Tamandua tetradactyla: one gene and its partner. The protein of the gene in region 2 interacts with the protein of the main gene of each other region in a pairwise test. Links are inferred from orthologs where the notes say so. Each region holds a gene or a part of one and is shown on either strand. Other genes may lie near its edges. The genes, in order: CCDC184 and GPANK1.

Region 1 (15,701 bases), on a different chromosome or scaffold from region 2:
GATGCAGATGTTCAAAAAAAAAAAATCATCATGGTGATTAACACACAACTATGTGATGATATTATAAGCCATTGATTGTACACCATGTATAGAATGTTTGTATGTCAAGAATGTTTGTATGCCCAGTGCCTGCCCATGAAAAAAAAAGGTCAGATATTTTTTAAGGATTCCATTTACCTGCAATATCCAGAATATGTAAATCAATAGAGACAGAAAAAAGATTAATGGGTGACACAGGTTGAAAGGAGTAAGGAATGGACAGTGAGTCTTTTTATGGGTATGAAGTTTCGTTGTGGAGTTATGAAATTGCTCTGGAAATTACTATATTGCAAACGTGCTCAACTTAATTGAATCTATTGGTTAAAATGGTCAAGTTCATGTTATGTGAATTTTGTCTCAATAAAAAATGTGCAGAGAAGCCCAAAAAAAAAAAAAAAGAAAGAATGTTTGTATGTTTGTTGTTTACAATAAAATAAAAAGAAAGGCACACACTCATAAACACAAAAAAATTGCATATCAATTTTAAGGATTGCCCATTCATAGGGAGCATAAGAACGGGAAAAGTGGTAAGGAAGAAAGGGCAGCTTTACTGGACACCTCATGAGAAGCTGGTGCAGGTGACTGAAGTGGCAGAAGTTCCTTTTCTAGAAAGGAGATTTGTATCTCATGCCCTTGGGGAAAAGACTAAGAGAAATGGAATCAAGGGCCAATGGGGGACTCACCCAGAACACTCATCAAAGGATTAAAAGCCCTAAAATGCCTTTGGGAATCATTACCAGCTCAATTTGAATGATATGGGCTTCAAACTGGTGATATGGCTAGAAAATCTAACAGGAAAATGAAGTACATGGGGAAAAAAGTATGTCAGGGCCATACTAGGGAGGACCTTGGCTCCACTCTCCCCTGTCCACCAGATTTTATATTTAATTCAAGAAGTATTGAGGATATGATGCAGGTTTCTGAGGAGAACGAATGTTCCGAGCTCTGGTTTAGGGAGAGTAATCTTCCTAAACCAGGATTATAGATGAGGGAGATCCTGGGGAGACCAATTAGGAGTTTATTGCAGTCATTTTTGTATTCTTCTCAAATTCATTCTATTTATTCAGTTTCCCTCTCTCTCTATCACCCCACCATCTGGCAGTGAGCCAGGTCTTCAGTAAACATTTGGTGGTGCTTGTTGAATATAAAGCCATAAATTCACATTGAGAGTCCCCTTGTAATGATCCCATTGTTCACCAGGTGGCACCATCACAACATTATTTACAGAGCACAAGTCCTACAAGCACTGTGCTTTCAAGCAGAAGGGCTGTTTTTTCTGGGGAAATCCACCTTCTGGGGATAATCCAGAAGTGGAAAAAAATATAAGAATCAAAAATCCTCCTTTTGTCCTTCCATATCGTTTCTTACCATAGCAAGGTATCCTGGCCAAATGTCTATTCCCAAGAACACAGATGGGGAAAGATGCTTATGAAAGCTGGCTTTCCCAAAACGCAAGCAGTTTTCTCTCTTGCGAGAAATATAGACTTAAATATATTTGGGAAAGAACTGTTCCTCAGTGCTGGTAAAATGTCCAGATGATACATTTCATTAAACATATCAAGCAGAGACCATTATCGGTGGTGATATTAAGATCATTTATAAAATTGCTTGTTTCTGTTAGAGGCCAATTTGTACCCTTTAGAAAAACAACTTTTTTTCTAAGAGCAGATTTGAGTTTTATTAGGCTAAAGTTGTATCTTATTTCTCTGAAGTTGTATTTTCATTTTGAGATTAAGAGCTGAATCCTTAGACAGGTGAGAGATGAGAAGGCCAGGACCTGAAAGTGTTGTTCTGAGTGACTATGAGATGCTGGGCACACAGTGTTCTTGAGTCCAGATGCTTTGTACCAAGCAGCACAAAGTTACGGTAGGGTCATCTCCTCACTTCCATATACCAGCACTGCTCTAGCAAATTCCCAGGGGCTAACAAACTTGGAAGTAGTGGTAGGCAGGAGTCTTAGCATATAATAGGTGTCAGTGTTACTTGGATTGGTTGAATAAGTAGTTAGTAATCAGATTTATGTGAAGATTTCAATTTACTGTGGAAAATACTTAGGAGGCCCCAAGAGATAAAAATGCCAGGAGTCCCAGATTCAGGCACTGTCATTTTTTTCTTTGGTATTTTTTCAAGATAAAAATGCTTATTGCCCTTTAGCTTCAAGAGTCTTTTGGGGGTATTATAAACCCTTTTAAGAATCAAGTGAAAAGAATGGCCCTTCTCTCTAGAGAATGCACATACTTACAAGATTTTGCATTCAATTTCAAGGAAGTGTGGCCCCCTGAAATGCCACATTAGCAATTCCACTAACTCATCAGGAGCATTCCAAAGGAGAAACAGAAAAGGAGAGTGAGGAACAAGGAAGAAGGAAGAGGTGGGAGACCAACCTGTGCTGGATACCTGTGAGATGCTAGTACAGGTTACTGAAGAAAGCTGAAAATTCGCTTTCTCGGGGGAGATTTTTATCTACTAAACTTGGGGAGAATAGCTAGATAACCTTTAGGAGGCCCCTGGCTAAAGGACTGATGCCATAGAGGGCTTAGGAAGGGGAACTGAAATGGAGTCAAGAGTTAAAAGGCTTAACTAGACTTTTCTACAGAAAAGGCAACCCTTGGGATTCATGTCAGACTCCAACAATCTGAGCTACAGAGACTAGGAAAGATGTACAAGGATGGTGTTGTGTCAGGAAATACTCTCAAGGAGCAGGTCCATAAGGCCATTTTCTTGGTGCCATTTTTGCATTATCACCCACTAGACTCAGAAGCTACACTAACCAAAACCTGAATCACATTTTCTTGTCTTTTCAGGACTGTTTGTACTCCAGATTGGAGAAATAAGGAATCCTCTCAGAAGATCCAAATAATAGAGCACTTAAGCAGGGTGATTTCGATCAAGGGCCCTTTAAGTCAGGCAAACCAAGGTTTAAGTCCTGCATCTGTCAAGTACCAGCTGTGTGACCTTGAACAAGAAACAGACTCTAAGACTTGGAAATAGTAATAATGCCTACATCATAGGGATATCAAGAGACAAAATTGGCTCACAGTAAGTCCTCAATAAATGATAACTATCATTGTCATTATTAGTGCTGAATGTTGGAACTGTTACAGCAGGAACCTATTTCCCGGTCCTCAAGGACACTTCCCCTCTTACATACTTTAGCTGCCCTCTCTAGGGCACCCAGCACTGGTTCCCCAATCACTGCATAATTCAAGGCTTCCTCTGTTCATCCTATATGTGCAAAGACCTTTTTGACCCCTAGCTGCTTAAACATGTATGACAAAAAGGCCTTTGTCTGTAGGGAATCTCACCATCTTCCTTTCCTTAAATCTATTCTGAAGGATAAGGATACTTTAGATAGGGAACAATTATATAAAACAAGAACTTCTGGGTAGTTTTGTTTTCACAAATGAGCTGGCCACCATCCCACCCATCCCCAAGAGAACTGTAATGAAACTAACATTTGCAAAAGACTTCTTAGAGGTCTTATTTAATCCTCCCCAACAACTTTTTATTCCCATTTTACAGATGCAGAAACTAAGTATTAAGTGATTGCTTCAGTCCTGGAACTGAGGTTTAAGGCTAGATTGGCAACTCCAGTGCTGTTTCCACCTCCCTCAGCAACCAGCAGCACTAGCACACACACATATGCAGCCATGGGAATTTCGTTCCAGGGTAACCTCCAGAAATTTCCATTGCTCAAAGGAGCTGACTAGAGCTGATGTCAGTCTAGGTTCCCTGGGGAACCCCTTACCGGCATTCTTCAGTAGACGCCTGTGGCAGTTACTGTGGTTTCTCCTTTGTGTGTCGCTACCTCTCAACAATCCCAGGTAAACCCTCCCAAACAATATCCCCTCTCTAGCCCTTCCATGAAACAGGTGTTATGCCTGCCATTCCAGGACCCAGGCTTGGAAATCATCTCCCAGGGACCAGTTACTTCACTGAAAAGACATCTCTAGCACATCTAGAGTTCGGGCTACTAAAAACCCAATTTAGTTTAGGAGTCTCAACACATACTCCCTCCTTCCTTAGTCCAATTGGTGGTTAGGGTCCAGGAAAGAAAGTAAAGCCGGCAAAGCTGTCAGTGTCGGTCCCGACCAGAGTCGGTCAATTCCTCAAAACTGGAGGCAGGGAGAAAGAAGGCAGAGTTCCTTCCAGAATCCAGGGCCCAGAAGCCTCACCCTGATATCCCCCTGATACCAGTCAGCAAGGAGGGGAGATGACACCTCTTTATTAAGTTCACACCAAGGAAAGCATTGAGAAGGAATACACAAAGGAGGGAGAAGAGCACACAAGTCACCACTTGAGGAGGCATGAGGGAGGCACATCAGTTAAGGATCCTCAGGACAGCCACATGCTCCATGCCCTGGTTGGGGGTGGGTGGGGAGGAGAGCAAAGGGGGAAGCGCCATGATAGCATAGAGCTCCAGAAGGGTCTGCAGCCTCCTCAACCTAACATCAGAGCCAAAAGCCCTGCCCCTCAGGGCTCACACACTACTATACAAGTGGACACACAAAGCACACAAGACATCATGGAGGCAACACCAAGAGGCAGTGGGCAAGGACATTTTGTCTGGAAAAGGAGCTAAAGTTAAGCAGGAATAGCCAGAAGTGAGACCAGCTTTTGACTGCAGCCCCCAAGAGTCCCTCAAACGTCCCCTAAAGCTGGGCTGTTGCTGAGCATCCCGAGTCTCTGCCTGTGAACCGGGCTCTTTGTTCTCTAAGCCCCAGTGAGTGGAAAAGCAATCCCAGATGAAGTCAGTGACAAGGCAGGATCCATGCAAAAATCCTAGAAGTTGAGCTATTATGTCTTCATGCACATACATAGCCAGCTCCTCCCAGCCCAAGCGCCCTTGGAACCCCATTCACCCAGATTCCTAGGGCTGCAGTTCCCTCCTCAAGCTTTCTTTACCAATCATCAGGCGCAGAGATTTGTGAGGGGGAGAGGTTTCTGCAGAGCACTGAATATCTTGGGTTTCAGCAGAAAGGTAAATTTCCTGTTTCCAGAACAGAATACCCCAATTCCTTAATTCCTAGGTAAAACTTTAAAGATTATTTGCCAGAGTCCTAGATAAGTCCTTTTTCAGAATAGAAAAAGCAGAATTTTATTTACATAATTTAGGAGTTCTCCAGTTGGCTGGGGAGGGGACAAGGGTAGGGTAGGGGATGGATGGTAGTCCAGAGATGGGGCCGCTTCTTCTCCCTGAACCTCACCTTTCCGCGGTTTACAAAGTCTCTCTTATTGGGCAGAAAGAATTCTTGATGCTCCCAAAGTCTTCACCCTACAAATCCTTCCTCAGGGGAGTCTCTCAGTCTGACCAACAAGAGCAGCCGTCAGAAGCATGCTGCACCGCGCTGTTCAATCCCCTCACGTCATGCACCGGGAAACCCAAAGCCAGCCGGGGAAGGTAGTGCCCATGCGGAGTCTCCTTACAGAGAGGCCTCACCCTCCAGCTGCAGGAGGGTAATGTCGGGCAGATCAAGGGGATCCACAAGTGGTCCGTCCCCCGCAAGAAGGCCAGCACAGGGGCTCTTGGGGCGCTCACAGTGACTGGTGGGTGTGGCGGAACTGGTGGGCACCTCCTTCTCCTCTTCCTCATCGTCGTCCTCCTGATCCTCGGGATCACGACCCGGTAAGCCACTGTCTCCCGTCCCAGGAGAAGGGATCTCCGGCTCTTGGGGGGTGCCCGAGAAGCTCCCTTTGCCGCCGACCACGCCCAGGCCGCCCTGGCGGGGCGCGGTGGTCATAATCTGGCACATGGAGACGATGGCCCGTTGGTTGGCGCACACGTCGTCCGAGAGCACCTGGATATGCGAGGCCTGCTCGTCCAGGGCCCCCCGCATGGCCCTCACGTCCTCAAACAGGGCCTGCAGCTGGGCCTTCAGGTGCTCCATCAGTTCCTTCATGCCGCTGTTGTACTCCCCAGAGATCACGTCCCCCACGGCCGGCACGGTGGACACCTCCAGGGGCGCCGGCATGTCGCCGCCGTCCTTGGTCATAATCTCCAGCAGACCTTCCTCCATTGAATGGCACAAGCGGGCGGTGGCGGCCCGGTCTCGGAGTGGGGCAAGGGGCGGGGAGGGGTGGGGTCCCCGGGGGGGCGAGAGGAGCCCAGGGAAGAGCAGGCTCTCCAGAGGGGCAGGAGCCGACTTGAGGAGACGAGTCCTGGGAGGAGGGCGCGGGCAGGACCTGGAGAGGCAGGGCAGAGGCGGCGGGACGCGCGCCCGGCGAGGGTCCCAGGGCCGGCGACTCTCGGACTGTCCCCGGGACGGAAGCACCCTGCCCTGCTTATCCTGGACTGCGCCCGTGCCGGCAACGCCTTTCGAGCGCCACGAGCGCCTGGGTCAAGGCCGAGGCCAGCAGCGGGTCCGCCTCGGGACTCCCCCGCGCCATTAACCGGCAGCGCCCGCGAGTGTGGCTGGAGCGGCAGAGGTGGGTCTCCCGGCCGCGCCGCGAATGCTCCTCTGTTTCCAAGGCGACGCACGGCACGTAAATGACGTCTGTCTCCATGGCAACCAGGAAGTGGAGAAGAAAAGGAGAGGACGGTTGGGAAGCTGCAGTGGGGCTCCCTCGTCTAAGCTAGCAGGTGGGGCGGGAGGGGAGGGGATGCTGCAGTGGCCTCAGGGTAGAGAGAGCATGTGGCTGCGACGTTCTATAGGAAGCAGGAGGGAGCAGTTTGCTGCGTACACGCCAAGCCCAGGAGAGATCATCCCTCCCCCAGGTAGGGTATTAGACACTGAGCGCGACTGCCTCAGAATGCTTCTCACCAGTCGGTATTCCTTTGTCAAAGGAATGGCGCTAGACCCAAGTCCTACTTTTCTGTCCTCCAGCCGTTTGCAGGGAAGCGGAGGGTAGAAAGACCTACGCTAATAATCCCAGACTTGAACTGGTGCGCGGCGGCGCTCTGCGGTGGGTCCCGGCAGGCCATAGCTGTGCAGGGGCAGGAAGAGGGCACTACGGAAGTTTCTGCAGAAAATCAGCCTATTTCACTGTAGTAAGCACAAAACTGAGAAAGGGTGGGATTTCCTCCGTTGGAGACCCACTCGCTCCTATCTAGGTCACTGTGGGGTTTTCCAGGATAGTGAGGCAAAGCACTCACACTTTGAATGAAAGCTCCTAAAAGCAGAGGTTTTTGTTTTTGTTTTTGTTTTTCACCTCATTCACTTAATCCCCAACACCTAAAATAATCCCTGGCACATAGTAAATTAATGCTCAGTAGATTCGTTGAATGAGTACTTTAACAACAATCACTCTGTCCCCCATTCCCTCATTCAGAACTCTCAACAAGTAGTGGATTTTTTTTGAGACCTGAATTCAGGGTATGGTTCTGCCACTATTAATTCAGAGATCTTGGCTTAATCAGTTTCCTGAATATGTGGGTTCCTGATCCACGTTTTCCCGATCTGTGGATAATCCATAACATTATTTCCAACTCTGAATAATACTACACCTGCTCACAGGTGAAACGGTAAAGTGTAGAGGGATGATGGGGGGGGGACCAGGTGTGAGGGTAATATCCCCCCCTTCCCCAGTGCCCATGACATACACTGAATGTCCCAACTTTTGTGACACTACTTGAGGGGGAGAGTGAGAGTTGAGGTGGAGGAAGAAAAATTTGATTTAGTATGTTTACAGAAGACACAAGATTGGGAAGCAGTGAGCACCTGAGCAGCAGCATGCTAGTAAATAATGTCTCTACTAAGTCAGAGAAGCCAAGTGGTTAGAAACCGAAAATGAAGTTCCTAAGAACAAATACATGTGGGAAAAAACAAACTATCACTTCAATATGGAGAAGTGCTAGCTATGGGTGAATGTTTTTTGTACAGTTGTTCAGTGAAAGCAAATGTGTTGCCTTGGGGTTACTTTGGTTGGGTGCTCTAATGATGACGAGGAAGCTGGTGCCCAGAAACTTAGGGCACTAAAAAACTGTTTGGCCTTTGCCTGTCTTACGGCTATTAAAAAATATAAATTGGAAATATCCTAAATGTCCAACAGCACAATGTTTAAATAATCTAAGGCATTGCTGACATAATACAATAGTACACAGCCATTAGAAATTTGATCCTCTTCCCAATAAATGAGCAAAAACAAAAAACAAAAAAAACCCACAGTATTTTCTAAAACTAATGATTCAATACTATTCGCTTGCTCCTTCCTTCCTCCCTCCATGCCTCCCTCCCTTCTTTCCTTCCTTCCTATCTACTCTTCCTTCATTTCACAAAGTTGAATCACTCTCACCTTGCTTATCCCTGCTACCTTCCACAGAGTATTCCGAAAGCACTGGCTCAGGAGAGGACAGTAATGCTTTTTCTTGGTTTCCCTAAACACACCTGAAGTGGGCTGATATTTACAAATAGACTTTACAAAAAATTGTAAAGACAAGGCACATAAAAGCAGCTAAGCTTGTACAGCGTACATTTCTGGTCATATTATAGCAAGTTTGTTTGCAGAGCTTATGGAATCAGCCTCCTGCTCAATCTTCCTAAGAGAGCTATACTCCAGCCAAAAAAGGCTGGCATGACTTCCAGGCTTTTTGCCTGCATCTGTTACTGCACATCTCTTGGCCTACAGCTACCTACAAGTAATGGCCCTGTCCTCATAAGAGGGCCTCCTATTTTATCAATCCACTAACCCTACATTAAACATAGCCTCCTCAGAGTCAGAGCTGGGTTATGCCATCATACAAGGCTTTTTTCCACTATTGTTGAGGATACCAGATATGTCAAGGCTTTAGCATAAGATTACATCATGCTGTCTAGAGGCAGTGGCCATGAAGCCTGCTGAGAATACAGCAGGCTTGAGCCTAGAGGAGAGGGAAATTATTGGAGAAGCAAGAAAGAAAATGGGAAACAGGTGCAGAGATGAAGGGGTGTCGATGATCCAATCAAGTTCCAGGTCAGACATTCGAAAGCCAAGGGTAGGTGGGAACTGGGAATGGACCAGTAGCAAGATTTGTAAATAAAAGAAGGAGATGATTGATGTGACAGATACAAAACCAGATCATTTCAGGAATTCTGAGTGAAAATATGTTGGGAAAATAGGAGTAGAATCTAGTCTCCAAAAAATTGCACAGCAGAGCAGAGCCTCAGTCAGATGGCTGAATTACAGGGCTGGTTTCTCTGGATGCCAATGTCCTAGGTTTGTTGAATGGATCCATTTCCAAACAAAAGGAAGCAGGATGGGCATCCTGGCATCCCACTGAAGTATTCAGAAGGAATGTCACATCGCGAGAGAAAAAAATCCCCCCTCCCCCGTCATGTTCTGCTTCTGCTTCCTGCTTTTCTCTTATCTTAGTCTTGCTATCCCCTCATCCTAGTCTCATCAGCTCATGACGAGAAGAGACCCCATGCTGTTACACATATAGATCTCCTATCAGGTGCACCCAGATCCAACATCATATTCTCCCTTAAATTTGGATTCCGAATAGTCTCTGTTATTTATTCTATCTGGCATCTAGTTTATCTCAGTCTCTATATAGCTGGGTATCTTTTGCACTATTAATGTAACAGTCATGATGAAGATACTTGCTTGACTCGGGTCTAGGACAATGATCTAAGTCAAGATACAGCTGACTACTGCACTTTAGTTTCCAAATCCCCAACAATAACTCCCCAAACGTAACTTTTAAGAAGCTGAAGTGCCTGTGACCCATCTCAGTATGGTATTGCATTCAAAAGAAATACATACACTAGCCAAAAATAATTAAAAAGCAATTGAAATTTTTATTAAAGTCTCTGGGAAAATTCTAAAGGGATTTACTTATATTCTTAGCACAGAGTAAACCATCTTAAACTTCTCTTCCCTCCTTCTCCCTTTATTGCACACGTAATAGCATAACTGTTACCATTAGTCTTTCTCCTTTCTCCCCAGATACCCCCAAACTTTCTCACAAGCCTGGCCCTCACTCTCTCTCTCTTTTCTGCTTCTCTCACTTCTGGATGTATTCCTTCTGTCTTCTATAGGAAGAGACTCCTTGCCTATCCAATGTAGATCAGTCCACGTTTGTTTCAGTTCCTTTGATTCTGTCCCTCATTTCCCTGACCTGCACAGATTCGAGGTACCCCAGCTGTCAATGACAGGTGTCTCAGAGGGCCAGAGATACTGAGAGGATGAGAATACTCGTATTATGGGTTTTGTCTATCACTTAGACTAGGTTTTCTCGGTACCAGAGGATAATTTGCCTGGTGTTATGGCCGACCTGCTTTGCTCATCTCCCCACTTACCCAGAGTAACAAGCATCGAATTTTTCAAGGATTCTGGCCCTTGTGAACCGTTGACTGGGAAGGAGCTCAACTATCCATGTCCTCAAGAGATTTTAGTGACAGACATGGCCATGAGGTGAGCCACATATCCACTCCTTACTTAAAGCCTGAGCTGGACTTTCAATGGCTTGTTCATGACCTTAAACCACTACAATCACCCCCACCCCACCCCCACGAACACACACACACACACACACATACATACCATTGCCTTCTTTCTCTTCCACTTTTAACTTTACCAGAGCAAGAACTCCAAGGCTCTGTCCAACTTCTCAGGCAGGCTGAATTTCCACTGAAAGTGATCCCTTATTCCAATTGAACCTGCTTTGTCGGTGTCCATTCTCTCTCCCCTCTCTGTACTGCCCACGGTTACAGCTTCTCTTATAGCAACACTTGCACGGACATTTTTTCCTCTTTCAGTGCATATTCAATCATTTATCCCACACCACTCTCACATAAGCAATTCCAGTCAAAGCAAGCTGGGTAGTTGGCTATAGCCACAGAGGCACTGGCAGCTCTGAAGCTTCTGATGACCTCCTGTGCACTGCCTCACCCACTTTCCAATCTCTCCATATATTTTCTGCCCCTAGGAAGCTACCATTCTGGAAATGCTCAGGGCACAGTTTGACCACAAGTTAGAATCCTCCTCAGGATAATGCTGTGCCATCGACAGACATCTACAATTCCTTATGCCATAGGCAATTTTGCTTGTAGAACATCAGTCCTGTTTAAAGGAAAATTATGCCCTCATCTAGAGAAGGTAGAGAATGTGGCATTCCCACAGACTTTCCTTCCATGAAAATAAATTTTAGAAATTTAGTATCCCTCAATGCTGACTTATGCAAACCTCCAGGGTCACATCTCACCTGTCATATCTTGAATAAGTCCGTGGCGGTCTACCATCACAGACAGTGCATACAAAATTTTGTAGGTGTCACTCTGTCCATTATATCTAGTTATGTTCTTCCCATCCCTCTCAGAAGTCCTATAATACTATCAAAAGTGGTTTCTAGCACTCTCTTTTGCTATGGGGTATGGTACCTCAAGGGTCAGCTGCAGTTTAGCAGCCCCTGCAAGGGTACACTCCAATTTTATCCCACAAATGCACAGTGCTCATGGTAGTATGATGGACAGAGTCCCCAAAATGTCATCCATGTCTTCCAAATACCGCAGCAGTTCTGGGCGTTAAGTAGAAGTGAGGAAATGGACACTTTTCCCAACTTCACCCAGACCTTGAAGCACCTTTTTAAGAAGTCTCTCATGAAAACAGCCCCGTCTTCTGGCTCAACCTCAGGTTCACAGTTTATAGGCACAATGCCTGGGTTTTTGGTTTGTTCTTAAGGCACCAAGATCCTGCCAGAAATCCTTCCATTACCTCCCTCTCAAAGGAAGTTCTACCTATACAGAGAATAAAGGGTTTAACAAATGAATATGATTGCTGAATCATTACATTGATATTTATTTTTAGTCTCCAGTATCTTAGAGCAGCTAGAAGTGAAAACCTAAAATTGTGGAATTGTAACTCATACCAAATCCTGAAATCTGTTTTCCAACTAATTGTTGTGCTGTGCTTTGAAATTTATTGTTTTTCTGTATATATGTTATTTTTCACCAAAAAAAAAGAAAGTCACTTGTGATGACAATATATATGAATTCCTTCTAGCCCCTTATATTATGAAACAGCTAGAAGGAAAAATCTGAAGTGATGGTATGGTAGCCCTTAAAAAACTCTTGGATCTGTCCTTTAATTACTTGTTGAAGAGTGCTTTGAAAACTATTGCTTTATTCTTTCATTGATTTGTATAAATACTATATTATACAATTTTAAAAAATTAAAAAGAAAAAAAAGAAGCTCTACCTGATCTGCCAGATCTGGTCCTCTCCAACCTATCCTGGGCCACTTCTCTAACTCTAAGCCTTTCTCACTCCAGTCACACCCTGACCTCCTTGTGGTCCCTCTCCCTTCAGTCTGTGCACATGCTACAACACTCTCCCCTAGAATGTACACAACTCTTTTCCCTACTTCAGATCAAACATGGCCTTGCCAGTGAAATCAGCCTTGACCATCACCTATATAAAATAGCAGCCCCCACTCCTTTCACCCCAGAACTCTCTAATCCCTTTTCTTTGCTTTATTCTTTTCCATGGCAGTTATCAATATATGTTATTGTGCTGGTTTGAAAGGATGTATGTACCCTAGAAAAGCTGTGTTTTAATCCTAATCCCATTTTGTAAAGGCAGCCATTTCTTCTAATCCCTATTCAGTACTGTATGGTTGAAACTATAATTAGATCATCTCCCTGGAGATGTAACCCAATCAAGAGTGGTTGTTAAACTGGATTAGGTGGAGACGTGTCTCCACCCATTCAGGTGGGTCTTGATTAGTTTACTGGAATCCTGTATAAAAGAGGAAAGATTTTGGAGAATGAGAGAGATTCAGAGTTTCTGTGAGAGCAGAACAACATAGCTGTGAGAAGCAGAGAGCCCACTAGTCAGTGACCTTTAGAAATGAAGAAGGAAAACGCTTCCTGGGGAGCTTCATGAAAGGAAGCCAGGAGAGAAAGCTAGCAGATGATGCCATGTTTGCCACATGCCTTTCCAGATGAGAGAGAAACCCTGACCCTGTTTGCCATGTGCCTTCTCACTTGAGAGAGAGAAACCCTGAACTTCAGCAGCCTTCTTGAACCAAAGTATCTTTCCATAGATGCCTTTGATTAGACATTTCTATAGACTTGTTTAAATTGGGACATTTTCTCAGCCTTAGAACTGTAAACTAGCAACTTATTAAATTCCCCCTTTTAAAGGGCAGGCCACAGTGGCCCAGCAGGTAAGAATGCTTGCCTGCCAAGCCTGAGGACCCGGGTTCGATTCCCGGTGCCTGCCCATGTAAAATAAATAAATTCCTCCTTTAAAAAGCCATTCTATTCCTGGTGTATTGTATTCTGGCAGCTAGCAAGCTAGAACATTATACTATATTTTTATTTGCTCATTTATTTTTGTCTTTTGCCCCTAACTAGAAAGTAAGGTCCGTAGAACAGGAGTTGTTTTTGTTCACTGCCACATCTCCAGCACTTAGAGTAGTGCCTGACACATGGTGAGTGCTCAATAAATATTCGTTGAATAGATGAATGAATGAATGAATGATGTCCAAATCCATGCCTAGAAAAAGCAACACCTCCCTTAAGGACATGTAATCTGCAGAGCTTCAACTCTGCCTTAGTTTAAAGCGGAGTTTAGTTTCTTTGGTTTCAGCCATCTACTATGGTGATCTATAACTCATATTCACACAATAAAATGGCATATTTAGTGGTTTTCCTTGAACAAAGGAATACTTACTGTAGAGAGAAATTGAAAACGCCACCTCTTGCAGAACAGAAAAGTGCTTGCAACCTTGAAATGAGAGCAGCCCATTATGTCCTCACTCCCCCAACCTAGCCCTCCCTGCAACTGCATATCCCTTCACTATCCCCTTCAAAAGTCTCAAAGATATTAAGGCCAAGTTTATTCAGAACTCAAGGTAGCAGACTGCATGTTCCTCTCAACCCTTGATGTTATTTGAGAATGGAATAATGCTGTCTGTATCCCCACACTGTTTGTTAAGGAGAAGTCCTGATTTATACTCTAATTCTTCTGAAGACAGCCTCAAAGTAAGTACCCTATAAGTACAATCTTACTCTCTGTGAGATTGTCAGCTGTCAGGGGATGTTATGAATAGAGAGGTTATGATGCTTTAAAACTCCTGTTCTTCTTCCTTTTGCATTCCTAAACTGGTAGACTGTAGTAATTTAGGGTACATTAGTCCAGTGTCCTTTTTATAATAAAATTGAGGTCTGTCTGTTCCTTGCTTTTGCCCTTCCCTACTTCTGTTATGAAACAAAAAACCGACACTCACAGCACAAAAACAACAACAAACAAAAAACTCTTGGCCCTTATCAAATATGATATAAAATGATATAAAAAATGATATAAAAGATCAGTCTTTCCTGGGTAGCAAAACTAACTTAAAACTAAACATCATACATGGATCAGAAAAACAATATTTATTCCAGAAATTGAGGTTAGTGATGGTATGGTAAACAACCTAAGGAGGACAGTTTCAATAAAGCTTTGATGTTGTCCACAATGTTGTCTGGGTCTCTGAGAAGCAGAGAGCAACTTAATGTGAACCTCAATGCTTATTGCCCAGATCCAAAGGATTAAACTAAAACTAGATCCTCCCCCAGAGTGTGATCCCAAGTCACATATCCAGTCTTCTTTCCTAGCCTATCCATCACCATATCACATACACGCTTCCAGTTATTTCTTATATTATTAAACATCACTTCCCTCTTACCATTAGTGGCTTTTTGCTCCTAGGCAGAACTCTGAGTACCATCTAAGTTACCTCTGGGCATGATAGATAATAAGCCGTCCACAATTTCACATTATTAGAATATTAAAGTTGCTGATGTTTAAATTGCTATGTGGATTGTGGGACATAAGGCCTCTCTGTTTTGTATTTGTGGATTTTTATGAGTGTTTTGGGGGAAGTTGTTTTGATAGAAGAGTGATTTTGGAGAAAGTTTCAAGAGACAAACAGAGAGATGATGCAAGGCTATAAGTTGAGTTCTCAGGTCTATGGAAAGAAAGGGGATTGTCAATACTGATGTAAGAGAGAAGAAAACACTAGAAAGAAAGTTCTCAGTGGATTTCTGACCTTGGAACAAACTCTAGCATAGAGGGTGGTGAACAGCATTCTGATTTTACTAAGGCAAGAAGGAGAACAAGGCATTTAGGTAGGATTTCTAGACTGACATCTTGGGAGTGATTGGATATGTGACAGAAGAACCTGGAAACTCCCTTTCAGGAGGCCTTGGAAACTGAAGAGAGTCTTACTTGACTGAGTTTAGTTTAGGAAGAAATGATTCTATTACCCCTGAGGCCATCTCTGTGATAATTTGACAATCCTACTGCCCACGTTTTAATCACAAGCCAAAGGCTGAAAGAATTCTGAAGTGATCGTATGTGTGTTAGTTAGATTCGGTTGTCAACTTGGCCAGGTGAGCATACCTAGTTTTGTTGCTGCGGACATAAGCCAATGGTAAGTGAACCTCATCTGTTGCTAATTACATCTGCAGTTGGCTAGGAGGCATGTCTGCTGCTATGAGTGACGTTTGACTTAATTAGCCGGTGCTTAAATGAGAGAACCTAAGGTAGCACAGCCTAAGCAGCTCGGCATTCCTCATCTCAGCACTTGCAGCTCAGCCCAGGCCTTTGGAGATGCAGAAAGAAGTCACCCCGGGGAAAGTTGTTGGAACCCAGGGGCCTGGAGAGAAGACCAGCAGAGACCATCCTGTGCCTTCCATGTTAGAAAAACTTCAGTGGAAAGTTAGCTGCCTTTCCTCTGAAGAACTAACAAAATTAATC
Region 2 (16,151 bases):
TCTGTGAATCCTGGGGCCTAAGGCAGGGCTGGACTCAGAGGATTGTGTCCCTAAGTGTTCACTGAATGTATGGGAAAGGGCAAGTTATGTGCATTATTACTCTGTGTGCTTGCAGTTCTGAAAAATAAATTAAAATGAACTACTGCAGCCCTCTCTGTCTACTCTCTACACCTACCTCCAACCCCTGTAGAGGGAGGTCCTGGGTGCCAGGCTCTTTGAAAAGAATCAAGGACTGGCAGGATCCCAGGCCCCTCAGCACCAGGTGATGGCAAGATACAGGCCTGAACCCTTTCATTTCCTCCTAAGTTTTCCTGGTTTAAAAAGAAAGTTTTCTCTCTTCTTAGGTTGAAAAGCCTGGCACCCACTGGGTCTAACTTCCTAGGTTTTGTAGGGTAAGTTCAAGGTTGAGGGGTCATGACTCCTCTTCTTTGATCTCTAGCTAAGCAGATCAGCTGGATCTGGATGGATAGATGGGATGGAGATGGAGATGGACTCTTTGGAGAAAGCCACAAAAGTCAAGTGTTATGGGCAGAGCTCTACATTTCTGTTTGAATCCTGCACCTAAACTCAGCTTGCCTATAGTTGCCCATACCTGAGCCTGACCCCACAAACAATGTGACACAGACTTAGCCCAGACCCAGTTTATTGTGGAAGGAAACTGAGGGACAAAGGGCAGAGTGGGACAGACTCTCCCCTCTCCTTCTGCCAGGCACCTAGAAAGATGGATTTTGGGACTCATAGTTAGTGAAGTGGAGCTGAAGAGGCCAGGGGACTATGAGAAGAGATGATAGAGGGAGGGCAACAGGAGACCAGGGTGGCAGTTGGGGTGGTAAAAAGTGAGGCAGGAATACCAAAATGCCAAGTCAGGAAATCTGCACCGAAGTCTACCTTTCATTCTTCTCGCTGCAGGTTCAGCCTGGCACTGGTTTGTTTGTTTTTCTGGCACTGGGTCATAAGAGATGGGCACAGGAGTTGGGATACTAAGGTAGATATGAACGGAATTGGTAGATGATCAGATTGAAGGAGAACTGGAAGACGAAGGGAGACTATGAAATACTCAGATGATGAGAAAGGGATGGAGGAAACCACTGCACCATTCCTGGCACAGCCTGGGCAGAATTCACCCTTGAGATTCTTTGCCAAGGGGAAGAAAGAGCAGCTTTGAGTGCACTACCAACTTAGTTCAAGAGAGGAGATAAAACCAAAGTCATATAAATGTTGGCGGTTCAAAGGAGGGAGGCCTACACAATCAGGGTGACCAGCAAACGTGGGTGTTCTCCAAGAGGGCAGTGCAGGATTCCGGGGGTGTTAGGAGCAGGATGCTGTAACAGAATGGACTCTGGAAGGAGTAATGGGTCAGGGTCCAGCCCGAGGAAGAACCAAAAGTCCAGAACTGTTGAGAAAGAGGTAGGTGCGACGTAGGTCAGCAATGGACAAGCCCAGGTTCAGGAGCAGGGTGGCCAGGTGGTCCAGGCCTTCATGCTCCTTCTCGGCAGGGAAGCTGGGCAGGGGGAGTGAGAGGTTCAGGGCGTGGTAGAACTTATGGATCTGGGACTCAGGCAGTGGCAGGGCCAGGAGCCTATCAGGGGGTTCAGGTGGGGGGTTCTGAAGTTGGGGGCTTGTCCAGGAGTTGCAGTAATCATACTGGCAGCATTGGGCATCGTACCAATACTCTGAGACATAGGTGTGGCGTTTTTCCTGGCAGCGGTATGAATTGTGCTGTCCACAGCCCCTGATATTGAAGCGAACCTGGATATCTGGAATAGAGGGGACAGCCATTAATCCCTGCTGCCCCCATACTCCCCAGACCTGGCAACCCTACCACTGGCTTCTCCCATCCCTTATCCAGACAGGGCTGCCATCCCAGGCTCCTTCAGAAGGGGCCAGAAAAAAACAGCAAAGCTGACTCCCAAAAACTCCAGACCCTTCCTCCAAGATTCTCCTCTCTTTTTCCTGCACCTCAGACCCCGAGAAGTCCCTATCTATCAGAGGAGGGGAGCCCAAACCCTGGGCTGTTCCCCCAGAAGCCTCTTCCTTGGACTTAACTCACGGGAATAGATGGTGATCACCATGCATGGGGACGAGCCGTTGATAGTGCACTTCTCTGAGCCCGAAATGCAACCTATAGCCGGGTCTTCTAAGAGGCAGAAGTGGCAGGTCCGGACTTTGGGAACAGGAGCTAGGGAAGCAGAAAATGGGAGATAAGAGCTCCTCTGAGGGAGTTTGAGCATCTGGAGCCCCTTCCCCACCCTTTTCCTGGACTCAGTAACCCCTTCCTCCCTGCCCCTGTGCCCCACTTACCCTTTCCCACTGAGAAGCCCGCCATGACCAGGGTGCCTACAAGCACATGGACCTTCATTATGGAATTCTAGGGAGTGGGACAAGTCCCTGAGAGATGCCTTGAAACCCCACTTTCCTATGACCACGCTCCTTGATCCTGAACTGCAGGGTAGTTTTGACAGGCAGTCTGAGCAAGGGTTGCTGTAGATGCAGAGCTATATTCCTGCCTGGGGCAGAATCCTGGGCTGAGGGAGAAGTTAATTTGTCAGGAAGGACAATGTGTTCTCACCCACGAGGTCTGGTTCCTGAATGTGGGGGCACTGGCCTGGTCAGAGATAGTATCTAGGACCCACCTGGATGTTTAACCAGGCAACTTTGTCCTGCGTGGTCCCCCGAGCCCTATTCCCTCCCCTCAAGGATCAGTATGTCTGTGTCTGGGACCATTTGCTGTCTTCTTCCACACAACAGGGCTGGACCAGAGATGCTGGGGAAAAAATGGGCTGCGGAGCCCAGTGTGTGCAGTCTTCTGAGACAGCATGTCTTGACTCCCCCAGCAGGGGGCGCACAGGCACCACTGAGCAGCAATTCCGGACCTTGTCCCTCTTTGCTCTATCCTTCACAGTTGTTATTTTAGGACCACTTCCCCTTTAAAACCAAAACTGAAAGACAAGGTTGTCAAATTTCGTTATGTCCCTTAGAGTATAAACAGACAGCCTTAGATGGCCTGAAAAGAACAAATATTTCTCTAGTCTTTGAAAACTGACTTTTCTCCAGGTCTTTTCCTTGTAATGGTACACTCCTTCACATCCAGTCCTAAGAATTCTGCTCTGTTCTCCACTAAGAACATCACTCAAACCCACCAGGCACAAACCTGTTCTAAGTTTCAACTTGGGGAGGGTGGGCCATGAGGGCTCCTGAGGTCCAGCACGCTGCCACCTTCCCTTCCCCAACCCCAAGCACCAGCAGACTGGCTCATGGCCTTTTCTTCCACTTTATTTCATATTCCCACCACAGTAATGACTCCTTTAATTTAAACTAAAAACCATGAAGGGTTCCTGAAAGGGTGGCAGCGAAGGAATAGGGCCATCAAAGACTGAGGGACAGGTAGGGGGTAATCAGCGAATCGTCTTGACTGGACTCTTGAAGTTGCTGGCGGCTTGGAGCTGCAGCTGGTAGGCCATCGGATGGATCTTGAAACCATAGAGCCTGGGTCGGGGTGACAGGTCAGAGAGGCAGCAGGGTGAGTCCCAACCTGGCCCTGCCAGGGGTCTGCATTCCTGTCCCCACTCCCTACCCCCTACCCCCAGATCCTCCTGGGCCTGCTCAATGCTTAAGGGCAGCAGTTCCCAAACTCCTGCACTGGAAAATATCTGGACATGGATCTTAAAATTGAAACTCTAGGATATATAGTTGTACTTGCTTCAATATAAAACTGAGCCTTTCCTCCCCACAACCAGACCGGTGCTTTAAGATGAGCCAGGTTTACCCTGTGGCTCCCAGGATTCTCTGGTAAAAGGTTGAACTCTCAAGGCAGTGGTGAAAATAGCTTAACATTACAATAGTGCCTTGGAACTTTGTTCTAAACAATCTACATATTTAACTATACCCTGTTAAATAAATTCTGTCATCAATCCTGTTTTACAGGTAAGGAAATTAAATAAGGAATTTGAATAATGCATTCAAGGTCACTCAGCAGAGAGAAGCCCTGGCTTTGGGACAACCAGGGACTTTCATGCCCTTCCTTTGACTCTTGGTGACTGTCCGAGCTCCCCACCTGGGCACAAACTGGTTGGCTGGCCGCTTAGGTCGGTACTCGGGGTGCACCATGAACAGCATGTGAGGGAAACCAGTGCCGAAGTAGGCGCCGTCTGTGTGGTGGTGCCTTGATGACTTGGGTGTGTACACATCCATGCACTTGGGGCAGTAGAGCTTCACCATGGCCTCGCCTGGGATGTCTGATAGGCCTGGGAGACAGCCAGACTCAGCAGGCTGGGCACTCACCCACCAACCCTGACCAACTCCCCCCCCACAGGACTCAGGCCCAGACTTGCTGAGTCCCAACTCCTTCCCAGGGAACCTGCCATATGTCACCCTCCCCAACACTCACCAATGGGAAGCATTGGCTGGTTCTCACAGTACACACGGGGACAATAGCCAAAGTCTCCCTGCTGGTATTTTTCCAACTAAGGTGAATAAAATGGAAGAGATTGGTGGGTAGGTAAGAAAAAGCAACCTATGTGGTTCTGACTCCCTTCTCAACCCAACCCACATCACTCTGTCCGTCAATCCTCCCGCCTCTGTCAGAAGTTCCCTCTCTGGCTCAAACTCCTCGGCTTTCCTTCAGCTAGGCTGAGGACCATCAAAGCCATTTGCCATTTGTTTCCTGAGGAAGAGGCAGCCTATAAGAACTTCTATTCAGACGCATGTCTCCCTCCCTGACTCAAGTCTGGACTCAATTCTCAGACCCAAATTTTGGGATTCTTTCCCTCTTCTCAGCTAGACTCCCTGGCAAGGTTAAAATGTGTGACTTCTCACTGTGGGAACCTTCGTTTCTCTTATTTCTCAGAAGAAGTCAAGTGGGAGCAGAGAGACCTCACCATCTGGGCAATGCCACGGTTGGTGAGGATGTAGCGGGCGTGGATTAATCCATACAGCATCTCCGCCGCCTGCTCAATCAGGTCACTCTGGTTGGGGTTGTCTTCCAGCTCTTCATCTGAAATATGTTCCAGCCCAAATGCAACACTAGTCATTCAGCTTTCCTAGATGCTCCACCCACTCCCAGGGGTACCCGCCACCCACTATTTAGGCATCTGACCCAGAAACCTGGGTCTCTGCTTCTCCTTTACACCTCTCCAGCCTCTGTTTTCTTCTCCCCCTCCCAATTCCTTCCTCAATGCATAAATGCAAAGACGTTAATGCAGAATGAGGAACTTTAGTCTGGAAAGTGCAGGGCAGGAGAAAGAGGCAGAAAACAAGACATGTGCGAAAGATGGCATTATGGAACAGAGTTGAGTTACAAGACAAGAAAGCATGGGAACATGTGGCAAGAACTTGGCAAGAATCAGATGGTGATCAAAACAAAACGAGGAGTTTTGGCTTTAGAAAGCCACAGAAGCAAAAAAAAATTAGGAATTAAAGAAACAAGTGAACAGAGATTTGTAGAAAAAGGGGAACAAAACAAAGACAAATAAAAAAAAACAAACACTGAGAGTGCCTCACCAGGCTCCAGGTCCAAAATCATGTCTAGAGCTTGCCGATAGTGGGGTACTTGCTCATTGAGCCCTGTGAGGTTGAACTTGTCCTGGATGTAATCTTCATCCACCTGTTAAGATGTGGAAGTCAAGAGGGAATTCATAGCGGAATCCACAACTTTGGCCAAGGCAAGTTGCTCTAAATGATGCCTGGTCCTCAGTGTAGCTACTTCTATTACCCTTGTTCCCATTCCCAGGGACTCAATAGAAGTACCTGACTTTCTCTTTCCCATTCACACATACTCCTTTCCATAAAAGTTTTGGCTTCTCTGTTCTAAGGATAAAGTGGTACACCAACCTCCACCTTGGAAACATTCTGTTCATGTTCTGTATCCTTTTTCCTGAACGTCACCCCACCCACCCACTCCCATCTCTAGGAACCACGTTTATCCTCTCCTTAGGGACAGCTGTCTCTCAGGAAGGTGGAAGCTGAACAGCTTAGATTCCCAAGGCAGTTACAATCCTTATGTTACTACAAAGTTTTGCACTTCATAGAACTTTTTAACACACAGTACTTCAATTTTCCTCAGTCAACCTGAAAAGAGACTGCCACTACCACCCCACTATTATGAAAGAGACACAGGTTGGCTTATTCAAAGTTACACTGCTGGAGAATAATGGGATTAGTATTTCACCACAGGTTACTGGGCCAAACTGAGAGGATCATTCTTTGACAGAAAGGAGTTTTCATGGTAGCATGTGAAAAAATTGAGTGAGAACGTCTGGGGCCAGAATATGTGTAGGAAATAGGGACGTTTAAGAGAACTCACTTCACAGAAGAATTCATTGCCACGGAGCCCACAGAACCAGGAGATCCAGGATACCTCCTCTGAGCTGCTCATCTTCACGTCTGCAGGGAAAAAAATATGTGAAGCTGGTGACCCACAGCTCTTGCTCCCTGCCTACTCCCTTAATATCCTCCCTCCTCCTACACTTTGCCCTCCAACCACAGAGAAATTTGGGGCCACCTTATCTTAAAGGATCTCTGACTCTACAGCACACCTTTCCTGCCCCTCTTATTTACATGCCTTGGCCTCCTTCCCCCCCAATCAGACATTCTGTGATGTTCCACCTCCTACCATCATTTGCGAGAAGCCTATATATCTTTTCTCACTAGTTCTCTCCACATCCCTGGCGATCCCGAATGCTAGGTCCCTTTTCCCCCGTGTCAATTCCGGTAGGGTCCGCGCCTCGGACGCCGAAATACCGCAAAGCTCTGCATCGCCCGGTTCCCCAGGGTTCCGAAGTTAATCCTTCCCGGGCAATCGCCAGGTTTCTTCTTTAGATCCCTTCCATAAAGTTCGCACATCCCGCCTCCACCCCTCAGGACACCCCTCCCTCCCTTCCTCCCTGGGTACCAGACCGGGTCACTTCCTTCCCCGCCCCCACATCAAGACGCGGAGACCCCATGTGCCGCGCCCAGCGAGTAGACGTTCCGCACAGCGACGACCTCAGACTCACCTGCTAGACGGTGGCCAGGACCGGGGGAGGGGGGGTAGGGGAGTTGGTGCTTTCAAGGGGCGGCGACGACCGCTACAGCGAAGGCCACGGACCGGACCGCGGCAGAAGCGGGGTAGGGGGGAGTGGAAATTGGAGAGGGTGGGGAAGAGGACGACGCGCAAGCGCTAAGGGTCGGGTGCCAGGGAGGACGCCGGGAGATGAAGTCTCCGGTACGGAGAAACTAGCGAAATGAGGGAAAAGCGAACTACGAATCCCAGGATGACCCGCATCCGACCCTGGGGTCGCGGAATCCGCGAGGAAGGCTGGGGGCGGGGCGCAGCGAGTCACCACCGGAAGCGGAAGCCTAACTCCACGTTCGGGGCCAGAGACTAAGGGAAATATAATCACGTGTTCAGGGTACGGAGGGGCCGACGTGGGGCGGGGAAATAGCGAGCTAGTCTCTGGTTCCTCCCCGCCGCTCCTCTAGCCGAGCGAACACTGGCTACCGGCATAGCGCTGCCGTACACGGAACTGATTCCATTCCGGACCGTTCTGCTGGGCCCTTATCAGCTATCGGGCTCCTTGCCAGAGTCAGGCCAATCCCTGGCAGGGCCCATGTTTCACTTTGGGCCCCGTTCACCCGAAGTGGGAGGTGCGGTCGGCATTCGTGCTGAGAAACTTGGGTGGGATGTGCTGCGCTGGGCTGAGCGGTCTAAGAACCAGAATGGTCCACTGCGCTAACCTGAGGTGGCACCAGCCATCCTGCCGCTCGTCGCCTTGCACTGCTCCATCTCTTAGAAGAGCTACAGTGGGAGGGGTTTTTTGCTATGGGCTCTAAGTGTGATCTTCAAACCCTGATCAGAGTAAGGGTGAGGGGCACCGTGACGTTATTTTATGTCACAGCTTATCGACATTCCACAGGTTTTCCTCTGCCTCTGTAAGACCTTTCTTAACCCAGGGACTGGCTTCCTAGTTCCAGAAAATGGGCTGGAAATGTGGACAATGTTGAGGGTTGCGAAGGGCATTGTGGGGCGTTATGTAAAAGTCGGGCCTCAACCGACTGATCCTCCTCGGTCCTCGCGACAATTGGGCACATGGTGCTTTGCGCGCAAACTATTGGCACGATTCCAGGGCGGGAAACTGAACCCGACGCTTTGCGCACGCCGGCGTCGGGAGTAGTGGCTGTGTATGCATTTTTTTCAATCACGCATGCGCCTTCGTGTTCTGTAGCTATTTGATTGTATTGGCTTGTTTTATTAGAGTAGCGCCATTTTGCCGTACGGAAGCTCTAAGAGACAGACGCCTCTGCTTGACATCCTCTTCCGGAGAAGTGTCATGTCTGTTTTTTTGTTTTTTGTTTTTTTCCGGAAAGACGGAACCCCGAATTAGGATTGAGGAAGATTTAAAGAGCCAGGCTGATGTTTTTCTTAATGGTATGTCTTACGGGGTGGAAAAGTTGATCCAAAGAGAGGCTGGTATTATTGCTGGGGAGGTCTGGACTCGGGATCTCTGGGCAACTCTCTCAGGGTGTTTTCTTTGTTAACCTTTAGCAAGAGACAGACCTGTTACTGTAGGATCTCATATTTTTATACGTGACCTTGCAGGCCCCTAAGTTCGGGGGTCTCTTTTGGGACAGCTATGGTCTTTGATTCTAAGGTTACTTTTCCTCACCCCAGCAGCTCCCTGGAAGTGGATTTGGACACTGCAGAGCCACTAGGCGCTTGGCTTGCTTGTCTGAGCTTCCCCTTGCCAGAGTCTCATTCTCTCAGTTCTCCCCCAAGTCATGTCCAGGCCTTCTCTTATCACCTTCACCCCAGCCAGTGACCCCAGCGACCTCTGGAAAGATGGGCAGCAGCAGCCACAGCCTGAGGAACCAGAGCCTGTCCTGGATGGGCCTGCAGCCCGGGCTTTCTATGAGGCCCTGTTTGGGGATGAGAGCAGCCCCTCAGAACCTCAGAGATCTCAGCCTAAGCCTATCAGGGTGAGAAAGAGGAAGAAAAGAAGAGTGGTGGGGACACCTGTGGCAGAAGCAGCAGCAACAGCAGCATCAGGGGGACACAGACAAGAGAGATCCCTTGAAGCCGAGGACAAGATGACTCAGTGGATACTGAGGGCAGCCCAGGAGGGGGACCTGGCAGAACTTCAAAGGCTACTGGAGCCATGTGAGGCAGGGGGTGCTGGAGGGAATATCAACACCCGGGACACCTTCTGGTGGACTCCCCTGATGTGTGCTGCCCGAGCCGGCCAGGAGGCAGCTGTGCGCTATCTCCTGGGTCGCGGGGCTGCCTGGGTGGGAGTCTGTGAGCTAGGTGGCCGGGATGCTGCCCAGCTGGCTGAAGAGGCAGGCTTCCCTGAGGTGGCCCGGATGATCAGAGAGAGCCACGGAGAGACAAGGAGCCCAGAGAACCGGTGAGGGGAAACCTTACCCCATAAACATATATCAGTGTGCTCTGCCCTTTCTAGTCACTCTGTACCAGAGGTTCCAGAACAGAGCTGGGAAGCTTTCCTCCTCAGTGTAGGTGATAAGATAGTATACTGGAGGAGTTCTGAACTCGAGCTCCCAGAATTTGAATCCTGACTTTACTTACATGGGCAAGGAACCTAACATCTTTGTGTCCCGGTTGCCTCAGCTGAGAAATGGGGGTAATAACAGTACTTTCTCACAGGGTTGTTATTAGGATTAAATGGGTTAATACATGAAAATGTTAAATGGTGCTTGCCATATAAGTATTATATAAATATTAGCTTTACTCATTATTCTCATTATCATTATTATTTTTCCCTTCCCCAGGAGCTTTTTGAGACCTGGTTACCACCTCTTCCCCCAACCATTCCCATCTGGGTTCCCACTGGGTTCTTCAAGTGGGGAGGAAGGCAATTTGTTCCTTAGCCAGAGGGCTGGAGGGAACCTGTCCCACCCTGCCAGCCCCTTCTGAGGCCTCTGTGTTCTTCCCCCACCCCACAGCCCCCATCCTCAACTCAACTCCTCTTCTTCCTCTGCAGGCCTCATGCTCCCTCTCCCCAGTACTGTGAGACCTGTGACGCCCACTTCCAAGACTCCAACCACCAAACGTCTACTGCTCACTTGCTGTCGCTGTCCTGGATTCCCCAGCCCCACAACCTGCCACCTGGAGTCTCTGCCTCCAATCCAGGCTTCAAGCTGCTGCTGAGGGGAGGCTGGGAACCTGGGATGGGACTGGGACCCCGGGGTGAGGGCCGAGCCGAACCCATCCCAACTGTCCTCAAAAGGGACCAGGAGGGACTAGGCTACAGATCAGCACCCCAGGCCCGAATCACACACTTCCCAGCTCGGGATACCAGGGCTGTGGCAGGGAGGGAGCGAGCCCCTCGAATGGCTACACTGAGCCAGAAAGAGGAGAGAAGGCATGAGAAGGGCAGGGCCTGGGAGCGGGATCTGAGGATATACATGAACTTTGACTTCTAACCTTGGTGAGGTCTGACCCTGGTCTGCTGGCATCTGACCATTGGCTTCTGACTATGTCACTTTGGCCTCTGCTCCCTGGGGTCCACCCAGCTCCCTAGATCCTTAGGTTTTGTTCAATGGGCTCTGACTTTTGGGAGAGAAGAGCTAAGAGTTGAGAAATAAATCAGTCTCCTCCCTCTTGCATGATTTATTCACTTTTTTGTGAGATGTTGTAAGGAAGATATTCAGAAGTGTGGGGGCCAAAGTAGCAAGGTCCCCCCAAAGCCATAAGGGGCAGCCCCTCCAGGTGACATAATGGGGTCATGTCCCTGCCAGTTTGGGTTCACTTTCAGGTCCTAGCCATTGCTGGAAGTGCCCTACCTATTCTTTCAAACTCCTAAACCAAGAATTGCCTAGCTCTGTGCAATTCTCAGGAAGCCTGCCCTGACCACTCCAGTCAATTCAGCCATTGATTTCACAAACATAAGTTCATATACAGTGTGCTGAGAATATGAATGAGACATTCATACAGAGGAGTAGGGAAGGTTGGCAGAGGAAGTGATGAGAACGGATAGGGTCTGGCAAGAAGAGTCTAGAGTGGTGGGTGGGCCTAGAGGACCAACACTATCCAGCTTGTACACTGTTGGCTCATCTGGGACCAAAACTTATGGCTTCCTAACTCTAAACTTTAAAGCAGGGATCATCATTTCACAACCTGAAAACTTACGGGCAGGAAGTACATCCTAATTGTCTCCACTGCCCTGTGGTGCTCATCCCAGATGCCAGGCCTGTGAGACGCTCACCATTATCAATTCCAGGAAGTAAAATCTGTGGCAGGGAAGGGCTGCCCAAGTCCAAGGCTTCCCTCATCATCTTTCTTTCTGGAAAAGTCATTCATAAAGTCAGAAGACCTGATGATGGAACCCGCAAAGGGAGGGAACGGGCGAGTTTAGGGACGCACTGGTCGCCCTGAGGCTTCTAGGCGGCGGAAACGGAGAGCCGCGTTTATGGACAGGCCCTGGAGCTCGCTGACTCCTGCCCGGCGCCCTGCTGTGCGGCCCGGGGCGCACCACAGGCGCGAACAGAAAGCGCCGGGGCGCGGGGGCGGTCGATCGGCAGGGTCCGCCCTGCGAGCTTTCGGCCCCGCCCTCGCCTATCCCTCCGGTTCCCCCGTTCGGCTGCTTCCGGGCTCGGCGGCTCCGGGTGGCTTCTCGAGGCCGCGGCCCCGACGCTGGGCCGGGGAGGGGCCACTTCGCGCAGCTCCCGGACGCCTGGATCCCCAGGCAGGCCCACGCTTTGCTCCCGTGACCGGAATCTCCGGGGATATCCCCGGTCTGACCTTGCAGAAGGCCGCGTCTCAGCTGCGCGCGCGGGGGACCGATCGGGGCACCTTACAGGGTTCAAAGGCCCCAAATCAAGGGAAAACGCTGCTGCTGGCTGGAGTTTGCTGGACACTCCCCCCCCACCCCCCAACGACGAGATCGCCTATTCCTTAAGCTACCTAAGAGCGGCAGTTCAAGACTCCCCAGATCCAGGAGCACTTAAGACCCGAGGCCACCTTTCTACCTTCCTTCCTTCTTGGATGGAGCACCGCCTCCCCAGTTTCTGGGGCACCTGGGGGCGTGGCCTTGGTGAGTGAAACTTGGGGTGCTGCCTTCTGGGAAGGAAACCCAGAAACACAGGGAAGACACGTTTTCGGGGTGACCCAGGCCTTGTTGGATCCCAGGACTCTTGGAATCGTGTGCGTTGGGAAGTTGTGAATGAATTTCGGTATACCGCCCTTCAGTCCCCTCAAATTGAAAAAGAATCTAGGTGACCACCTGCCAGACTCGAGTTTGTATGACCACTTGGGCAAGTGAATTCAGAATAGGACGGTCTCACCAAGTGGACACCTGTTCTTCTGAGCCTGAATGGACTCTGGCTTGCTTCAGAAGAGACCCTCAGTCCCCAAACCTGAGAGTCTGAGCAGTGCAAGGAAGTAGGCCCAGAATTTGGGGCTTTTTACCCATTCTGACCATGTTCTTGCACCGACTTGGTGGCTGGCTACCTCGTCCCTGGGGCCGCCGGAAAGCAGCGAGGCCTGACCTGCTTGCCCCAGAACCCAGACAGGTGGACAGCTCCCCTGAGAATTCAGGGAGTGATTGGGACAGTGCCCCAGAAACCATGGGAGATGTGGAGCCTCCCAAAACCAAGGACTCCGGGGCATGGAGGAGCTCTGGGGCTGCCCCAGAACCAAACAGGGAACCCCCAGTTGAGCAAGTGGGGAGTAAAAGAATGGATTCCCTCAAGTGGAAGAAGACTGCCACTGGCACTGAAGACTCTGGGAGACTGGAGGCCGAAAGGAACATTCCCCAACTGGGTTGGGATCCTGTGGACTCAGGTGACTTCAAGAGACCCGGGGTGCCCCCTGAAGGGGCTCTTAGGCCCCCTGGTCCTGATGCCCCAGAAATGAAGCCAGGCCGGCATCAGAAACTGCTGGGCTGGCTGCGGGGGGAGCCAGGAGGAGGAGCAGGGGATCCCTCACTGTACCTGGGGGGCCCAGAGGAGCGTCTTCAGATCTCCACCAACCTGACCCTCCATCTGCTGGAGTTGCTGGCCTCAGCCCTGCTGGGGTTGTGCTCGCGGCCACTGCGGGCAGCCTTGGATGCGTTGGGCCTGCGCGGGCCACTGGGTCTCTGGCTGCATGGGGTTCTGTCCTTCCTGGCTGCCCTGCATGGGCTCCATGCCGTGCTGAGCCTACTTACCTCCCACCCCCTGCATTTTGCCTGTCTCTTTGGCCTCTTGCAGGCTCTGGTGCTGGCTGTCAGCCTCCGGGAGCCCAGTAGAGATGAGGGGGCCACTGACTTGGAGGCTGAGCGATCAGGGAGGGAAGGGGGAGAACAGAGGGAGGACCTGGGAAAGGGGCTGTGACTGTGGGGTGGGTGGGTGGGTGTAGGGGGTGAAGATTGTGTGGCCTTTAGGAGGAGAATGGGGAGGGGGTGGGCATGACCAGGTCAGAAGCACAGGGACTTCAGGGATGGGGAAGAAACTCTGGGATATAAGGGTGCAGGTCCCTTTTTCAGATATGAGAGAAAAGGGCTGCTTTTGAGTGTCTTTTTATGGATGGTGGGGGCACTGCCCTTGGATTCACCAGCTGTTGTCACTTTCTGCTTTTTCATTTTTCCAATCTCCACTTATAAAAATGGAGGGAGGGGGATAAAGACTAAAGTTTCCTCTTTACCTTTCAAAATTCCTCAAGTGGGGAGGAGGCCAGGGGCAAGACAGACAGACCTTTGGCCTAAGAGGGTGGTTGGGAGACCTAAGACATCCTCTGGATCCTGGGATCTGAGCCATGGAGGGAAGAAGTAGGCTGCTAGGTGGGTAGATTGGGGCCCACATGTTACAGGAAGCCTACAGGGAGGATCTGGGTGTTCACAGGAGCCAGAGGGAGTGGCAGTATTGGCCGGAGGGCCAGCTCAGAGGGGCTGGCAGCTCTGATAGGCAGTGTGGAGGATGCACTGGAACTTGCAGTTCCTACTTGGTGGGTTTGCTTATTCAGCAATAACTGTCACACCAAATTCTAAATATACCATTACAAAGTAAGAGTTTACTGCCACTCTGTCCTTCCTGACGCCGTACAGCTGGGGGTTTAGGTGGTGGAGTCGGGGAGTACTGAAATGAGGGGAATGGGAGTGACCCTGGAGACAAACACCAGAATGATGAGGGTTGAAAAATCTTTATTATTTTTGAAAGGAAGTTGGGAGTCTCCAGCTTTTCCCCCCACCAGAATCTCAGCTCCCACAATATCTGTCTCAAGGCACAGAGAGAGCCAGAGGTCAGTTGCTGGACAGCTCGCAGGCCTCTGTGGCAGGAGGGAGGAAAAAAAAAAGAGGATAGGAAGGAGGGAAGACCATGAAGAGGAGCAAGGCTGATGGTAGTAATGTGTTCCTTTGTTCCCCTGTGCCATTTTCCCTCCATGTCTGGCCCCGGCCTCCCTTTACCCACTATGAACTCAGAAATGGCTCTTTTGAGTAGGTTAGAGCCCATCTTGACTAAATCCCCAGCCCTTGACCAAATCCTTCTGATGCCATCATAGCCTTTGACCCAAATGGAGGTGTCAGTCCAGCTACTCTGATGACATCAGCCTTTGTTTATGCCCTCAGGTGACATTACATGAGCCCTCCTTCATCCAGCATCCCCAGACTTACTCAGTCCTAGTCTTCTGCAGTAGGAATTTAACCCCTCACCTTGATTCTTGGGAGTCAGTAAGAAGGCCTTGGAGTCCAGGCAGGAGGTCAGGAACTGGAATTCCTCCACACACTTCTCAGGAGGATGTGGTGAGCGATCTGGAAGGGCAGGGCCAGGACAGTCAAAGGCCCTGCTTCTCAGCATCACCCTGGTGAGTACCTCATGGGCACGTCACCCCTTCCTGGGGTGATGTTAAGGGATTCAGAGTAAGGGCTCTCTTGCCTTCCTGTTTCCCTCTGACCTTTCCTGCCTTGCATCCCCACTCACTGTAGAAGAGGAAACGCTGGTAACCCTGGCCCATCTCTTTCAACATGATTCCTCCTGGGCACGAGCTGGAGAAGAGCTTCGTTTTCATGTCAGGGCGGCCTGTCAGGGTGAGTGGGGGGGCAGGGGATGAGGACAGAGATGCATAAGCAAGGCCAGAGGACATGGAGAGGGTGAGGGCTGAAGGAACCAACCTTCAGTTCTAAGATCGGTGCTCCCGTCAGTCAGGTAATAGATCCACTTCCGGGGCACACAGAGCCCGTTTTTCCTACAGAGGTGGTGGTGGCATGAAGGACAGACTTAGAGACACTCCAACCACATAGTCCCAGCCTCCCTTTACTCCTCCTTGAAGGAAACTTGGATCCCTGTGGATTTCAAGCTACCAAAGAATGGTTAGATCTAGCTTTCTCTTTCCAAAGGGAAATAAGTACTACTGAGCCAAGAATAGTGGAGGTACCAGCCAAGAGCCCAGCTCTTGGTGGATGAGTGCTTACTCTTTGGGCAGAGACCACACCCACTGACACCTCTACCTCCTCGTCACTCACGTGCGGATAGTAGCACGAAGCTGGAGGTGTCTTGGGGCAGAGTCAGTAGTCATATTGAAGACAATGTTGTCCACAGGGTCAAAAGTCGCCAATTCCTCCCTGGTGGGAGCTGCCCCTGCGATAAAGTACCACCGACCTAGGTGGGGCTCTGGAAACTGAAGAGACAATTTGAAAAGCAAATTGTCAGTCAGGATAGGCATTGGCTGCTTTCCTCTTTGCAAATGGGGGTCAGATCCATGACAGCAAGTCATCAATGACTTGGGTAGCCACCATCCCACCCCACCCCCACTCCAATTCTGCCATGTCTCCACAGTTATGGCTTCAGAACTAAAATCTTTCTCCCTGCTTTTGTCATCACAACACTCACAGCATCTTCTTCCCCTCCTTTCCCCATGTGGCTTCTGGTCATCCTAAGCCACCCACCCAAATTCCCCAGGGCCTCCACCATAGGCTTCACGTGTTCTCTTCCATACCTCTTTCCCATCCACTCCCAGAGTTGTCAGTTGACTGTGCTCAGGGCAGTAGTACATGGAATCAAGGAGAATGCCATAGAGGTAGAGCAGAGCTGCCCAAATTCGGTGGAACATCTTCAGGCAAGAGGGAGCTGGTGCCCTGTGTGGGGTGGCTGGTCCCTGTACTGCTCTCTCCCCTGCTGGCTGCTCAGTCCACTCTGTTTCCAGCCCCCTTGCCTTGATCCTTGACCCTTTCACCTGCTAATGA

The links.
Region 1: the proteins of GPANK1 (region 2) and CCDC184 interact in binary tests that used the Homo sapiens proteins (3 or more experiments, as listed by UniProt). The two-hybrid records come from large-scale screens. The link is inferred for Tamandua tetradactyla from reciprocal best matches to the Homo sapiens genes GPANK1 and CCDC184.

Annotation. Positions count from the first base shown.
Region 1 is NC_135333.1:108,225,334-108,241,034, reverse strand, and holds CCDC184 (coiled-coil domain-containing protein 184), read right to left. Parts: upstream 6,472-15,701; 5' UTR 6,057-6,471; coding exon 5,463-6,056; 3' UTR 4,245-5,462; downstream 1-4,244. Other genes in the region: ASB8 (ankyrin repeat and SOCS box protein 8), read left to right, coding at 6,640-6,754.
Region 2 is NC_135331.1:87,245,634-87,261,784, reverse strand, and holds GPANK1 (G patch domain and ankyrin repeat-containing protein 1), read left to right. Parts: upstream 1-7,292; 5' UTR 7,293-7,388; intron 7,389-8,231; 5' UTR 8,232-8,404; intron 8,405-8,647; exon of another isoform or gene 8,648-8,650; 5' UTR 8,651-8,754; coding exon 8,755-9,380; intron 9,381-9,974; coding exon 9,975-10,416; 3' UTR 10,417-11,435; downstream 11,436-16,151. Other genes in the region: LY6G5B (lymphocyte antigen 6 complex locus protein G5b), read right to left, coding at 1,357-1,757, 2,051-2,179, 2,302-2,359; CSNK2B (casein kinase II subunit beta), read right to left, coding at 3,396-3,486, 4,055-4,244, 4,388-4,463, 4,878-4,993, 5,500-5,602, 6,302-6,373; C5H6orf47 (uncharacterized protein C6orf47 homolog), read left to right, coding at 12,412-13,305; APOM (apolipoprotein M), read right to left, coding at 14,560-14,720, 14,890-14,988, 15,081-15,154, 15,432-15,586, 15,905-16,018.